4 linked regions of the Saccharomyces cerevisiae S288C genome follow. Changing the gene in region 2 together with the main gene of any one other region gives a genetic interaction. Each region holds a gene or a part of one and is shown on either strand. Other genes may lie near its edges.

The links.
Region 1: mutations in SER2 (region 2) and HPT1 together harm fitness more than expected from each alone (negative genetic interaction), as found in Saccharomyces cerevisiae (3 studies listed by BioGRID).
Region 3: mutations in SER2 (region 2) and MNN10 together harm fitness more than expected from each alone (negative genetic interaction), as found in Saccharomyces cerevisiae (4 studies listed by BioGRID).
Region 4: mutations in SER2 (region 2) and FCY2 together harm fitness more than expected from each alone (negative genetic interaction), as found in Saccharomyces cerevisiae (3 studies listed by BioGRID).

What each region holds. Positions count from the first base shown.
Region 1 is NC_001136.10:1,267,793-1,271,381, reverse strand, and holds HPT1 (hypoxanthine phosphoribosyltransferase), read right to left. Parts: upstream 1,315-3,589; coding exon 649-1,314; downstream 1-648. Other genes in the region: URH1 (trifunctional uridine nucleosidase/nicotinamide riboside hydrolase/nicotinic acid riboside hydrolase), read right to left, coding at 1-319; UTP5 (Utp5p), read right to left, coding at 1,980-3,589. UniProt on the Saccharomyces cerevisiae protein: Converts guanine to guanosine monophosphate, and hypoxanthine to inosine monophosphate. Transfers the 5-phosphoribosyl group from 5-phosphoribosylpyrophosphate onto the purine.
Region 2 is NC_001139.9:909,702-913,616, reverse strand, and holds SER2 (phosphoserine phosphatase), read right to left. Parts: upstream 1,735-3,915; coding exon 805-1,734; downstream 1-804. Other genes in the region: YGR210C (uncharacterized protein), read left to right, coding at 1-114; thioredoxin TRX2, read left to right, coding at 390-704; CIR1 (Cir1p), read left to right, coding at 1,989-2,774; ubiquitin-binding ESCRT-I subunit protein MVB12, read right to left, coding at 2,880-3,185; TDA10 (putative ATP-dependent kinase), read right to left, coding at 3,532-3,915.
Region 3 is NC_001136.10:950,621-954,481, forward strand, and holds MNN10 (alpha-1,6-mannosyltransferase), read left to right. Parts: upstream 1-2,179; coding exon 2,180-3,361; downstream 3,362-3,861. Other genes in the region: PEX5 (Pex5p), read left to right, coding at 1-1,781; TRAPP subunit TRS23, read left to right, coding at 3,668-3,861. UniProt on the Saccharomyces cerevisiae protein: Required for polarized growth and efficient budding. The M-Pol II complex possesses alpha-1,6-mannosyltransferase activity and is probably involved in the elongation of the mannan backbone of N-linked glycans on cell wall and periplasmic proteins.
Region 4 is NC_001137.3:265,549-270,144, forward strand, and holds FCY2 (purine-cytosine permease), read right to left. Parts: upstream 2,566-4,596; coding exon 964-2,565; downstream 1-963. Other genes in the region: HIS1 (ATP phosphoribosyltransferase), read right to left, coding at 1-237; 60S ribosomal protein eL34 RPL34A, read right to left, coding at 3,875-4,203. UniProt on the Saccharomyces cerevisiae protein: This permease has a broad specificity towards purines, and also transport cytosine and 5-methylcytosine but neither uracil nor thymine.

The sequences.
Region 1 (3,589 bases), on a different chromosome or scaffold from region 2:
CAGTTCTTGCCTCAAATGTTGGCTTAGGTAGCAAAGAAGTGCCGTCTAAACCTGATATACCATGAATGTCAGGAGCATAATGAGGTTCCCTTTTCCAAGGTCTCTGTGCGCCTTTATAAACTGGAATCGCTTGTGCTTTGCCCATCGCAGTCAAAAGAGAACGGGCGTTGTAGTCAGTATTCTCTGGCGGTGCGTTACCAAAACACGTGCTGATTCCTAGAAGATTGAAAGCTGGATGGAAACAGCCTAATAAAATGGCTATGGCATCATCATGACCAGGATCACAATCTAGCCATATGGGTATTTTACTAACAGTCATCTTTTCTTCAAACAGTCGCTGGTTATTGCTGTCCAACCCTTCCCCAACCTTGCAGATGAGGGAAATTATCTGTTTTAATAAGTTTCGTGAGGTAAAAAAATCAGCAGATTCCATCAAAAGTAGTTGTCACGTATGTGTCAAATATCGCGTTACGTGGTGGTGAACAGAGGGAAAACGTAATCGCGCCTCACAGGTTACCGGTGAGGCTAAGGGAATAAACTTTGAGATAATAATTAGTTATACGTATACATATGGTCGCAGTTATATGCGTTGTCTATTGTACAAATTCTGCTGTATGATTCAAGTTACTGAAGGATATGATATGTCTATCATTGCTTGTGTTCCTGCTCAGGAATAAAGATGTCATTGCCCTGTTCAATAGCCATTCTAGTATGGAAAACAATGTCAGTAGATTCCCATGGATATGCATACCACTTGTCTGGAACAGTTTTAGCTGCAAAATAACGGTTCTTGTCATTCAACATTTCGGCAGGCAAATCTGCTTTCTTTGGTTTTTGCTTATCGTGTAGAACAAAAATCCCGAAGTTTGTTTTCATCTCTGGAGACTTTTCAGTATCGATACCTTTAGCCTTTGCCTGTTCAGCTGCATCCTTTTCCAATTCACTCAAAGCGTAATGAAGTGTGGTACGGGTGTCATCGACTTCGTCAACGATAAGAACGTTCTTGCCGACTAGATCTAATTTACATTGCTCGTAATCAATCCATTGTGTTCTGCTAACCTTAACACCAACTTCCTCAACTTCTGAGCCTACACTGTTCAAATCTTCGTACAAAGACAAAATAATAGCAAAAATTCTGATGGTTGGCACGCCGGGCTCCTTTAGGAACGTACGTAGGATCCTAGCAGGAATGAAACCACCACCACCAATGGCAATGATTAAGTCCGGCTTGAAATTCTTAATTCTCTCAGCGGATACTTGACATAGTTGATGTACGTTGTTGTACGAGATGTATTGCTTATCGTTTGCCGACATTATGGGAACGTAATGGATATAATGAACACGAACGGTAATATAAAAATAAGAAAGATTACAAGGCACTACATCGTATTACTCCAGCTAGATGGAGACTAAAATAAAAAAGTTACGGCAAACCAAACTGCGAAGGGGGAACAAAATCTAACGGAAATTGGGCTTATCAAACATGTTTAAATAGAAAATTCTATAGCAGCTCATCGCTACCCGATTTGGGACAGATGGAGGGGGAAAAATTTTTTTTCCTTTTCTTTCCTAGTAAACGCGAAATATAGAGAAAAAAAATGAAAGAAGTCAGATAAGCGGAAATGATATTAATTGAAATTAATCTAATTAATTTTTTCAGAAGAAAAAAAAAATAAGTGACTCGGAAGGGAAATATGTACTGTCTTTTCTTAGTTAACCAACTATGGTTGTGACGTAAAAGTGGAGTGCTTGCTTGATGTTCCAGATGGCCTTACTGTTAACGATGCCAGATGCAGTTCAAAAAGGATAAACGATTGTGGGGGTCTTTTGACAGATCTTCTTCGCGTGGGATACTTTCGTGATCTTTTTTTTTCTTTTTTCTTTTCTTACATTATGTGGTGAACTCTATATAAGTATTTATGTGCCTAGAGATTATTTTTGTATTCTGATGCGTGAAAGCATTTTATGCATGATATCCTCTATTCCATCTCAACGTCACTATATCCGGCTTCCTCCTCGCCGTCGCTCTGCTCCGTTTCTAAACGGCCATCTTGCTTAGATGAGGTATGCTTCTGTTCCTCTTCGTTGTCACTATCACCTTCTTCTTCTTCTTCACTGCCATAAGATTCTTCACCGTCCTCTATAAGGCCGGCATCATCGAGTTCTTCGTTATATTCAACGTCGTCTTCGTCCTCTTCGACAACTGGTTCGGATGAGTGGATGTCGCCTGCTTCATAGTTCAAAGTTTTGAATTTATTTATAGTACAGTCTAACCTTGCATCCAGTGCTAGTAGCCTTGGTAATAAGTCGGAACGCCTTTTCAAGGTGGAATGTAACGACGATAGAGTAGACATCAAATTTGGAATAGAAACCAAATAGCCACCGTGTATGATTAAACACCATTTTACCCAAACATTCAATGGGCCTTGACGGTGGGTTTGTCTTGCAATCCTCTCTGCCAACCTTTCTAAGAGAATGACAGCCAGTGCTGGTTTCAGACGGAAGATAGTATCCCTAATGACCCTCTCGTCACGATTATTGAGCACTGTTTCCAACAGTGAATGATCATTTGATTGTAGTGCTTGCGACAGAATTACTGTTACCGTCCCGGTTGTCGTAGCAGTCTTGAGATTGGAACCTTTTAAATTTGTTTTTTTCCCACTAATCCTTGCGACGGTGCTTGATTCTAGCTTATCACCAAATGTTTCTGTTAATAGTTCATTGGCCTGTGGGGGCTTGGCCTGTTCTTGTTCCAAAGAAGTCAATTCTCTTTCCCAGCTCTTTATAGCGTCATCAACATGCTTGAAGTTATCTCCAGAGGTGACTCTTGCATTACCTTCCACGTAGTTGGTGGCTGAGGCAAGATCTTTACCGTGTAGATCGCGATCGGCGGACTTATTTTTATTATTCCAATTTAGGGAAATTTCGACGGTATATTCATTAGGGATTTCTCTCCACTGCAAGTTCTTGAAGTAAGGCATAGTAGCATTTTGTAACCACGATACGTTCAAAAGGTCTTTATTAATAAATGCGTTATAAATTGGAACTTTCCTGCCGTCTTTACTGACGATTTGAATCTTTTTGCTGGATTTTTTGGACTTGTTGCCTCTTTTCTTTGTTGAACTCGATACCAATGGATCAACAAAAATTTCCAAGCTACCATCCTCGGTAGTGACTGCGATAGAATCGGCTTGGCCTGAATGAGATAACTCCTTGATATCTGATTCAGCCACAAGGACGCATTTGGTCATACCGGAATGAATATCATATACGTTCAAGAATCTATCACCCTCTGCGCCTGATATGAAAAATTCATTAGTTATAACTTGCAATGTGGACACTGGAGATACATGACCGGGAAATGTCATTACGACTTTTTTCTCTTCGATGTCTATTAAAGAAATGGAATGGGATGCAACCAAAAGTTGTGCAACAGAATCGCCTGCTGGAACAATGGTTAGTTTATTCAATTGAACGCAGTTGTTTATTCTAAAATGTTGTAACAGTTTGAATTGTAACAGATCGAACTGATAGAATGCGTCGCTGGAGTCGATACACCACAGTTGATTACCCATCAAGTCTATGTCTT
Region 2 (3,915 bases):
GTCACCATTGCAAGCATTGAAACCGTTGGCGGCGTGAGAGTCAGTGAAGAAAGTCTTGTTGAGCCCGGTAAGAATGACATACTCGGCTTCAAGATCGCTCCAAGATCAGCATAACTTGAGTGCCAGTGAATATTAAGTAATCATCAAAGTATATGTGTAATTGTTTATACTCTTAGTAAAGGATGCTCCCTACAAGGTGGCTCTTTTCTTACTAAGCGCGTTCAGTTTCCAGCCAGCCGAAAGAGGGATATCAGTATATAAGAAAGCCATTCGGGGGATGAAAAGCTGACAAGAGAATAACGAGGACCAGTTTTTATTTGTTGTCTAGCAAGAATTATACACGCACACATACACGAGAGTCTACGATATCTTTAAATAACACATCAATAATGGTCACTCAATTAAAATCCGCTTCTGAATACGACAGTGCTTTAGCATCTGGCGACAAGTTAGTCGTTGTTGACTTTTTTGCCACATGGTGTGGGCCATGTAAAATGATTGCACCAATGATTGAAAAGTTTGCAGAACAATATTCTGACGCTGCTTTTTACAAGTTGGATGTTGATGAAGTCTCAGATGTTGCTCAAAAAGCTGAAGTTTCTTCCATGCCTACCCTAATCTTCTACAAGGGCGGTAAGGAGGTTACCAGAGTCGTCGGTGCCAACCCAGCTGCTATCAAGCAAGCTATTGCTTCCAACGTATAGTTGCCGGTATATTAACGCTACGTAAAGTACATCATGTTTACCAGTTTAAATAAACAATTTTAAAAAGAAACTCTATTACATCTATCTATCATTATTTTCTTCATTGTCTATTGTATATTTCATCATCGGTGTAACCAAGAATGTATAAAATGTCAGTCATGCTCTTGGTATTCAACTTACAAGGTGCAGCTTTCTGCACCTTTGGCTTGGCGTTCCATGCGATCCCAAACCCGGCGGTAGCCATGGCTGGCAGGTCGTTACCACCGTCACCCACCATACAACTTGCTTCAACTGGAACATTGTAGTCATTACATAGTTGCAGAAGGGTTTCACTCTTGCACTGTCCGTCTACGATAGGACCCAGTGTTTTACCGGTTAATTTTCCATCAGTGTCAACTTCCAACAAGTTTGCCTTACAAAAATCTAAACCTAACTGATCCTTGATAAAACCGGCAAACTGAATAAAACCACCGCTTAAAACAGCGAGCTTGCAATTTTTTTTGTGAAGGAACTTGCATAGTTCTGGCACACCCTTGGTGACCTCTAGCTTTTGTTTTATTTCATCATATAGTGTATCGACTTGGAGGCCTTGCAATAATTTAACGCGTTCTCTTAAAGACTCTTTGAAATCAAGTTCATTGTTCATGGCTCTTTCTGTGATCTCGTGCACTTGTTCTTCAACACCAGCATAAGCGGCAATCAATTCGATGACCTCTTGGTAGATTAATGTTGAATCCATGTCAAAGACAAAGAGCTTTTTGGCTTGACGATATTCATTGTCGACAGAAACAATAACATCAACATCATTATGACTGTCAATGACGTTCGTCAGCTTATTCTTGAGGTCTTTTTGAACAATCGATCCTGCGACTTCAATGAATATATCGGTAGCTCTGGCCGATAGTTTCTTGGTACCATTGATTGATACATCTTTCGCCGAGCTTTCAGTAATTTCTTTCGCAATCTGGTCGATGGTTTCTTTTGGGAGATTTTCTCCATGAGCTATGCAGGTGATAACAAACTTTGACATTTTTTACAGCTGTCGTGCTTAATGTCTATGCTATTGGACTTGCTTGGATATGTCTATTTGTTTTTTTTTTACATAGTTTCATAGTTTCTATTTTTTATTTATCATTTTTTTTTATTTTTCACTTGAAGATCTTTCGAGATTATTAGTATTGACTCTTTCTTTCTCGGTGTAAAATAATCCTGATTCGAGAAACGTTGTCAAGACACACTAGGATCAATAACCCCGATAATCAAGTATCAGAAAGAGTAATAAAAATGTCTGCAAAACAGCAACTACGTATATTAGTTCCGGTGAAAAGGGTAGTTGATTTCCAGATCAAGCCTAGAGTAAATAAGACCTTAACTGGGATTGAAACCAGTGGAATCAAATTCAGTATCAACCCTTTCGATGATATTGCTGTCGAAGAAGCCATCAGAATTAAAGAAAAGAACAAGAGTTTAGTAGAATCTACGCATGCAGTTTCTATTGGCTCCGCCAAAGCTCAGGATATTCTAAGAAATTGCCTTGCTAAGGGAATAGACACCTGTAGTTTAATTGACTCTGTGGGTAAAGAAAACATAGAGCCCTTAGCAATTGCTAAAATCTTAAAAGCTGTTGTTGAAAAGAAGGGTTCTAATCTGGTTTTGATGGGAAAGCAAGCCATTGATGATGACTGTAACAACACCGGTCAGATGTTGGCAGGTTTATTAAATTGGCCACAGGCAACAAATGCGGCAAAGGTGGAATTCCTTGATAATGGTAGAGTTCAGGTAACAAGAGAAATTGACGATGGAGAAGAAGTAATTGAAGCTTCCTTACCAATGGTTATTACTACAGATTTGAGATTGAACACTCCGCGTTACGTAGGACTGCCCAAACTAATGAAGGCGAAGAAAAAGCCTATTGAAAAATTGGATATAGCAAAAGATTTTCCTGAAATTAATATTGAACCTCAGTTAAAGATAGTGTCGATGGAAGAGCCAAAGACTAAGTCACCTGGTGTGAAATTGAATTCTGTGGATGAATTGATTGAAAAGTTAAAAGAAGTTAAGGCCATTTAAATGCAACAAAGGTCAAATGACATAAAATGAAAACTGATAATATTACTAAGGTTTATAAAAAAAAATTGCTGTATATGTGTACATAGATATCGAAATGCAATTTAACTAGGAATTATCCTTTCTTGATGGAGATAATAGTGTGTTTCCAACAATTCCCGGTGGTTTTTTACTCAGATATTGCTCCTTGTACCACTGATCGAATTTCTTATTAGAAGAATCATGTAACTGACAGACTTTGGTGATATTGTCACATTCTTCGTACCAAGGGCATAATAAGTCCCTTGTTGGTTGTAGCGCTGGTAACTTAAATTCAGGCATCTGAAACCTAGTCACTGTTTCTTGTGGAAAATCCTTACCATATTTGTTGTAGAGGGGAATACGCCGTAGGAGTTCTTCAACATTATTGTTCATTTTTTTATGCGATAAGCTCCCATTGCTATTTTCCTTTCCTTTTTAATCTTAATTAATAGCAGTAATTTTTCCAAAACCGCTTAAATCTCGGACAGCCTCTGAACGGTATTTGTATAAGAAGGACAATAAAAGCTCTATAAAAGTTTTATGATGGATATGTAACAGATAAACAATTTTTTTTGCATACGACAATTATTCAAGAGTTGCCTTGTCAAAATTCTGAACCAAAAATACATGAAATCATTATAAAATTATCTGTTAGTACATAAAATAGAAGGGAAAAGTGAGATAAATTAAAAAAAAAAAAAAAAAAAAAAAAGGCGTAAAAAAAAAGGTCATAACATCACTATTCAATACATCTCGTTTTCGTAGAATATACATTCCTGTTGGAGTCGATTCCTAACGTCAATGTAGCAATGGAACCTAAACTTTCACTCCGGACAAAGTCGTTCAAATAAAGTTTATAGGAGGGCATGTATCTATCCACAAAAGCATGCACTTGTTCGTCGGTCATCCCCTTTCCGACCTTTGATATTAGTTCATGCTCCTGTTGTAGTCTCCAGCCATAAACATTGTTAATGTTATCGGTGGTGAATACTATCCCTAAAGATTTGATTTCTGGGTTGCGCCACAACAAGTCGCTATAGAAGAAGAGCTTGGCATTGACATCAACCATGTCCCCAGTAAGAAGATCATTATTCTCAATTCCTTGCAAAATGGGGTTGAACCC
Region 3 (3,861 bases), on a different chromosome or scaffold from region 2:
CTCAGCAGAACAAATCGCTTCAGTTTAATCAGAAGAATAATGGGCGTCTTAATGAGTCACCTCTACAGGGTACCAACAAGCCAGGTATTAGTGAGGCTTTTATATCCAATGTTAATGCTATTTCACAAGAAAACATGGCGAATATGCAAAGGTTCATAAACGGAGAACCACTGATCGATGATAAAAGAAGAATGGAAATAGGGCCATCCTCAGGCAGGCTTCCACCTTTTTCAAACGTACATTCTCTACAGACTTCAGCAAACCCAACCCAAATTAAGGGAGTGAACGATATATCTCATTGGTCACAGGAATTTCAAGGTAGTAATAGTATTCAAAATAGAAACGCGGATACAGGAAATTCAGAAAAGGCATGGCAGCGTGGCTCAACAACCGCATCAAGCCGGTTTCAGTACCCTAATACCATGATGAATAACTATGCTTATGCTTCTATGAACAGTCTTAGTGGATCAAGGCTCCAATCGCCTGCTTTCATGAATCAACAACAGTCTGGTCGTTCTAAAGAAGGAGTCAATGAGCAAGAACAACAACCCTGGACAGATCAGTTTGAAAAGCTGGAAAAAGAAGTCTCAGAAAACTTGGACATAAATGATGAAATAGAGAAGGAGGAAAATGTGAGTGAAGTAGAACAAAACAAACCAGAAACTGTTGAGAAGGAAGAAGGAGTATATGGAGATCAGTATCAATCTGATTTCCAAGAAGTGTGGGATAGCATACACAAGGACGCTGAAGAAGTCTTGCCATCCGAATTAGTTAATGATGACCTCAATCTAGGAGAAGACTACTTGAAATATCTCGGCGGTAGAGTAAATGGGAACATCGAGTATGCTTTTCAATCTAACAACGAATATTTTAATAATCCTAATGCTTATAAAATTGGCTGCCTACTGATGGAAAACGGAGCCAAATTGAGCGAGGCAGCGCTAGCATTTGAAGCTGCTGTTAAAGAAAAACCGGACCATGTGGATGCATGGCTAAGATTGGGTCTAGTACAAACCCAGAATGAAAAAGAGTTGAACGGCATAAGCGCCCTCGAAGAATGTTTAAAGTTAGACCCAAAGAATCTGGAGGCAATGAAAACTTTAGCGATAAGTTATATAAACGAAGGTTATGATATGAGCGCCTTCACAATGCTGGATAAATGGGCAGAAACTAAGTACCCGGAAATTTGGTCAAGGATCAAGCAACAAGATGACAAATTTCAAAAAGAGAAAGGGTTTACCCATATTGATATGAACGCTCATATCACAAAGCAATTTTTGCAACTAGCAAACAATTTAAGCACAATAGATCCTGAAATACAACTATGCTTGGGTCTCTTATTTTACACGAAAGATGATTTTGACAAAACCATAGATTGCTTTGAAAGTGCGTTGAGGGTGAATCCTAATGACGAACTCATGTGGAATAGATTAGGGGCTTCATTGGCCAATTCCAATAGATCAGAGGAAGCAATCCAAGCCTATCATAGGGCACTACAACTAAAACCTTCTTTTGTTAGAGCTCGCTATAATCTGGCGGTATCATCCATGAATATAGGCTGTTTCAAAGAAGCAGCAGGCTACTTATTAAGTGTTCTAAGTATGCATGAAGTGAACACTAATAATAAAAAAGGAGACGTTGGATCTCTCTTGAATACGTACAATGATACTGTTATAGAGACTTTGAAGAGAGTTTTTATAGCGATGAATAGAGATGATTTACTTCAAGAAGTGAAGCCAGGCATGGACCTGAAAAGATTTAAAGGAGAATTTTCGTTTTGATATGGTTCTCCGCAATTTTATGTTCTCGCATCACTGCCCAAATTCATTAGCATTAGCAGTACAAGCTATCCTATATATAAGGCAATAAAAAATCTTATAAATACTATCAGCAAGATTTCAACCTTGGAAAACATGCATTCAAAGGTCATAATTGCTGCTCTATTTACAGTCGTCCATAATGACATTTCTCTTTGATTATTTTCTTGTTTTTTCGCTCTTCTCAAGTGGATGTTACATAACAAACAAAACAGAAAAAATTGTTTAAATATAAAGTTTAAAAGTTATCTTTGATTCCGCACCTGAATTTTTGGATTGAAGGCCAAAGGAGGTTTATCAGGGAGAGAAAAGCTCTCTATTTATTTTTATAAGGAATAATTGTGCATGTACAACTATACAATATGTCTAGTGTACCTTATAATTCCCAACTTCCTATATCCAACCATCTAGAGTACGATGAAGATGAAAAGAAGAGCAGAGGCTCAAAACTAGGCCTGAAATATAAAATGATATACTGGAGGAAAACTTTATGCAGTTCGCTAGCGAGATGGAGAAAGCTAATACTATTAATATCTTTAGCTTTGTTTTTATTCATATGGATAAGCGATTCCACCATAAGCAGAAATCCATCTACCACAAGTTTTCAAGGCCAAAATAGTAACGATAATAAGTTGAGTAATACTGGTTCTAGCATCAACTCCAAAAGATATGTACCACCATATTCTAAGAGATCAAGATGGTCGTTTTGGAATCAAGATCCTAGGATTGTCATTATATTAGCGGCAAACGAAGGTGGTGGTGTATTGAGGTGGAAAAATGAGCAAGAATGGGCTATCGAAGGCATATCAATAGAAAATAAGAAGGCCTATGCGAAGAGACATGGATATGCGTTGACTATCAAGGATTTGACAACGTCCAAAAGATACTCTCACGAATACAGAGAGGGTTGGCAAAAAGTAGATATATTGAGACAGACGTTCAGGGAGTTTCCTAATGCAGAATGGTTCTGGTGGTTGGACCTGGATACTATGATAATGGAGCCTTCTAAATCATTAGAAGAACATATTTTCGACAGATTGGAAACTCTGGCTGACAGAGAATTGAAAAGTTTTAATCCCCTAAACCTAAGAGACGACATACCCTATGTCGATTATTCAGAGGAAATGGAGTTTCTAATAACACAAGATTGTGGAGGCTTCAATTTGGGCTCATTTCTGATAAAAAATAGCGAATGGTCTAAGCTGCTTCTAGATATGTGGTGGGACCCCGTTCTGTATGAACAAAAACATATGGTTTGGGAACATAGAGAACAAGATGCGTTAGAGGCATTATATGAAAACGAACCGTGGATTCGTTCGAGAATAGGATTTTTGCCCTTAAGAACGATCAATGCATTCCCACCGGGAGCATGCTCTGAATACAGTGGTGACTCAAGATACTTTTACAGTGAGAAAGACCATGATTTTGTTGTGAATATGGCCGGATGCAATTTTGGCAGAGATTGCTGGGGCGAGATGCAGTACTACACCACTTTAATGGAAAAACTGAATAGGAAATGGTACACGAGATTTTTCTTCCCATAAAATGGAAGTTATCAATATTGTAAAGAGAAGCATTTACAAGCTTTTATTTTTCTTTTTAATTTCCACTACTGGTTCTGCTTTAAAATGTTGTTTTATAATTTATGTACATTTAGGCCTATAGAAGATTCTTTCAATAATATGCTACACATTCTTTTATTTTTCCATCATATGTTGGAGTTTATGCCTCCTCGGCAGGAGTTGGGCGGTGCGAAGAGAAGAAAAAGAGTGAAACTAAAAAAAGGAATCTGCCTTTGCATAAGTTCAAAAGTGCAATTTTAGTGTTGGATTTAAACGGGAAAAATTGAAATGGCCATCGAAACAATACTTGTAATAAACAAATCAGGCGGACTAATCTATCAGCGGAATTTTACCAACGACGAACAGAAATTGAACAGCAATGAATACTTAATTCTTGCTAGTACACTGCACGGTGTATTCGCCATCGCGAGCCAGCTGACTCCGAAGGCATTACAGCTAACTCAACAAACGAACATCGAAAA
Region 4 (4,596 bases), on a different chromosome or scaffold from region 2:
GTCAACACCAGTTATACCAAGATCACATTTACCTTCACCAACAAAAGTTGGAATATCTGCAGCGGGCAGAAAGACCAACGCTACAGGTAAGCTTGTGCTTAGTGCAATGTCTAATCTTTGAGAGCGGTGAAAGGTAATATCAGCACCATTCAAAATAGAAACACTTTTAGAATATAAACGACCTTTCTTTGGGATTGCAAACAGTAGTCTATCGGTTAGATGGTTCACCAAATCCATTTTTCTATTGAATTTTTTAGAAACCTATCCTTTCTTTTCTATTTTCAAAGATTCAAACCGTTAATAGGAGTAAAATGCCAAAGTTTAGACGGTAAATACTTGCAGTTCACTGCGTATAAATGGACTTTCAGGCGAGTATATTCTGCAAAAATATTTTATAAGTTCCAACGGTAGAGGTGACTCACTTGGAAGCTTTTTTTTTCAATCGTTGGCTACGTGCGTACACGTGTTTTGCGGTCTCGCTTCGAAATGCCGAAATGAAAGAATTTCCGGGAAGAGTCACGCTGTTATCAATGACTTTGCAACTAATAAATTAACTAATAAATATTTTAATTAATTTTTTGACAAGGAGTCTAATACCTCGCATGCTAAACAACCTCTCTAGCCGGGTTGCCGGGTTACATCTCGTTCTCTTTACGTTCACATAGTCACATAACCACTAGTCACCTGTGCATTCTTACTTTTTTTTTTTCTTTTTGGCTTTTATTGTAAGACTGATATGCAGGCCACAAAGTCTCAATTAGGTCGCAGCCGTGCAAATTGTCTTGGCATTTTTGAAGTTTTGTATATACCATAGAGATTATCTTTGATATGTTACTAATATTGTAAAATACAGTTTGTAGCTATTTTTATTAAATGAGATGTCTAAATAGTTTACATGAAATTGCATCTATGATACATGACGTGAAATGTGCACGGGGAAATGATCGCCCTAATCATTACTTCCTAACGACCGAAGTATTTTAATTCTAAAGGTCTTAAGATGTTGTAGATGATGAAGGCCCAACTTGCACCCAACTCGAACCCAATGTCACCACCATATTTACCAATTAAGCGGCCAATTTCACCAACCCAATAGGTTTGACACATACCCAATGCAACACCGAAGGCACCAACAATTAAGGCAGCAGTACCTGCGATACCGATAGGTAGATGCTCCCAATTATCCCAATCATCAATATTGTAAGCACTGAAGGAACGTCTGTAGAAGAAATGTTCTGAACATGAGATGGCAATGTAAATAGCTAAGTAGTAACCGATAGAATCCATGAAATTCTCCATAAAGCCATCAAAGTAATAGGTAGCAGGGATGGAAATACCTAAAGTGGCAGCATTACCTGCCATTGTCCAGACTACTCTTGGTATTTTAGCCAAAGGTGCCCACAAAGCTTGAGCGGATAAAGCAACAGTATACATATTTGGAATATTATTTGCAATAGTGGACAGAGCTAACAAAACGCAGCAGAATTGACCAAATCCGTTCAGAGAGTTAGGAACCAGGATAGCATATATGACACCACCCATAGCATTTTTGTCATAATATGCCTTCCAGGTTGGGTCATTAAGAGCAGCCATAGCAGAAGCAGCACCAAGAATCATGGTGAAAAATAGAGGGAACGCTAGACCAGCAACTAGGGAGAAAAAAATCTTGTACTTGTTTGTACTCTTTGGCATATAAACAGTGTAGTCAGCTGCATAGGTCGTCCATCCTGCGGCAAAACCGAAAATAGATGAACCAAAAGAAAGAACACTACCTGCAGTAGTTGCACCTCCTACCCATTCACCACCTTTAAACTTTCCTGATCTCGATAGTTGGGCAATAATAACCAAAAAGACGGCAAAATTGGGTACCCATGACCATTTCTCGTATGCATGAATGACACTGTAACCAAAAAAAGTCACAAGCACGGTACCACCAATAATGATCAGACAACCGGCCCAAATAGGACAGACGTGGCCGGAGCCTTCATTCACCATATTCAGCAGTTGTGCGGATACTGAGGTATTCACAATACCCCAACCGACACAAGCAATAACGTTAATAAGAGAGAAAATTCTTGCCGTTACATTACCAACCAGATATCTTGATAAAATCATCTGTCTTAAGCCCAGTTCTGCACCAAAGACAGAAAAGAACGCAACAAATATCAACCCCATTATATTGAAAAATATGATAACTAAAACACTTTGACCAAAATTTAGACCGAACACCATGGGTCCTAAGGCACCCAAAGCATATGATGCAATGACCATATTAGCTGAAAACCACATGGACGCAGCATTCAGTATGGAATCGTCCGTTTTTTCATCCTCTGTAACTGGTTCAACACCCTTTGTTTCTGCATTCAAACTGGCAAAGAACTTATGGAACCACGATAATTTTGTGGCCTCTGATGATTCAACGATATACTGTTGGTCATCTTCGGAAGTTGCTGTGAAAGTTTCAGAAGCGGCTACCTTCTTTTCGTTTTCCAAGCTTGAGCCTATTACAGGAGATCTCTTCTCCAAGTCTTGGATTTCGTAAACATTATTTCCCTCTTCCAACATTCTTATAAATCGTTATAATAGAGGATAGGATGTTTTATATGCGAAATTTATATGGATATTGTTGTGAATACTATTACAGTTAAGCTTACTTATCTACATTTCAAAGAAAAATGCCTCCAACGCGTTTTAGACTCACCACTATTTTACTGTCTAAATATTTTTAATGGATATTTATATTAAAACCATTATCTTGGTTGGTTCCCTAACATCTTGATCATCGAGAAAAAAAAAAAAAAAAGGACATGAAAAATTCTGACAATGAAAAAAAAGAAATTAAAGACTCATAATTATTTATTGATAAGGCGAAGACGTAGCAACTATATGTACGTAGAAGTCAATGGCAATCGCGATAAAGCTGTGCATTAATGACCGAACGCGGGCGGCAGACATTTCTGAAAAAGAGTCAATTTGTACGAATACGCCCCCCACTCGGGAAAGGCGATAAAATCGACTGATATTTAGTTCCTTGAGGCCGTTCCATTGGTGACAAAAGAAAACATGCCGCTCGATTTTCTAACACTAAGCAAATCCGCAGAGGAGTATTGCAGTCACTTTGACCGAATAAGACCAGTATCCATCGATTTTCTGTCTTGGATGACCTCTTTGCTGTTCTCCACAGGTAAATCACTTAAAAAAGATATGAGATACGTTAGATTAATTAATTTCAGAAATTAATATGATTACGGAAACTTGGTTGAAAGTGGCTGAATTTACGACGTAATCTGTCTTGACATCTTTTTTTTTTTCAGCGAGCATTCTCTAGGATTTTTTGTTTACTTTCCACTTGGATTTTATCTGTAGGCTTTATCAAGTTCCTGTATGTATGGTTGTGCAAGGCACTCTTCTTCATAAAGGAAAAGATGTGTTGAGATTTGTAAGGCTTTTCATCAGTGTTAGATCTGAGGTGGTGTTCACATTAAATTAATCGACGCAGGATTTGGCGAAAGCTTCTGGCATAATGTTTGGTGTTTGTGGTGTGTGATTTCTTTTTTTGATTTTTTCTTTTGCAGTTGTATTCCCATACATTAAATTGTTCGTGGCACATGAAAAAAAAAAAATAAAATATGAACAGGTCTTTTTTATAGCAGAGTTACGTCGTCTACAGTTGGACAGGCGATTGACTACTAAATTCCCATGGCTATGGATGACGATGATTAATGAAGAAATAGTAGCTCGACAACATTACAAAAAGCATTATTCATAGAGCGCTAGAGCCATGAAAGTTTTCTTGTGATATGAATTATTTTTATTCGTGCTTTATATAAAACAGTTAATTAGGTACATAAGAAAAGTAACATTTTCTTAAAGTTTATTTCTTAGCCTTCTTTTCAGATTTCTTGGCAGCTTCGGTTTGTTCCTTGACAACCTTCTTGACAATTTTTTGTTCTTCGATCAAGAAAGCTCTAATAATTCTTTCCTTAACACAGTTGGCACATCTGGAACCACCGTAAGCTCTGGAAACAGTCTTGTGGGTCTTGGAAACAGTGGCGTATTGTCTTGGTCTCAAAGTAGAGATACCTTGCAAAGCGCTACCACAGTCACCACACTTTGGTCTGGTAGCTAACTTCTTGACATGTTGGGCACGCAAAATACCACCTGGGGTCTTAACAACCTTGATTTTGTTAGAACGGGTGTTGTCTATTTGAAAATGTTTTCAGAAAGTTGGTATACTTTCTCATTTGAAAAATATGTTAGTACGAAATGTTTCAATAGGAAGGAGTTCGAGAAAACTTTAAAAGAAATTTTCGTAACACAGATTGAGATTATTAGCTCTAGTCAGTATCAGGGTTAAAAGTGGCTGCTCTTATTAACTATCGTTTTTCTTCTCATTGCTACTAATATTGTATTATTTCTGGACACAATATTTCGCGCAGAATAAGTTATTGATAGTGGATTACAAAAACGGGGTAAATTGCTTTTGATAACTATACTAGGACCCCTGACATGGTATCCTCTCCTCTCTTGCTCTTTTTTAGTTGAATAATCATCATCTCGTCAGAATTTCTCGTAATTTATAAGTGTGCCTTTAAC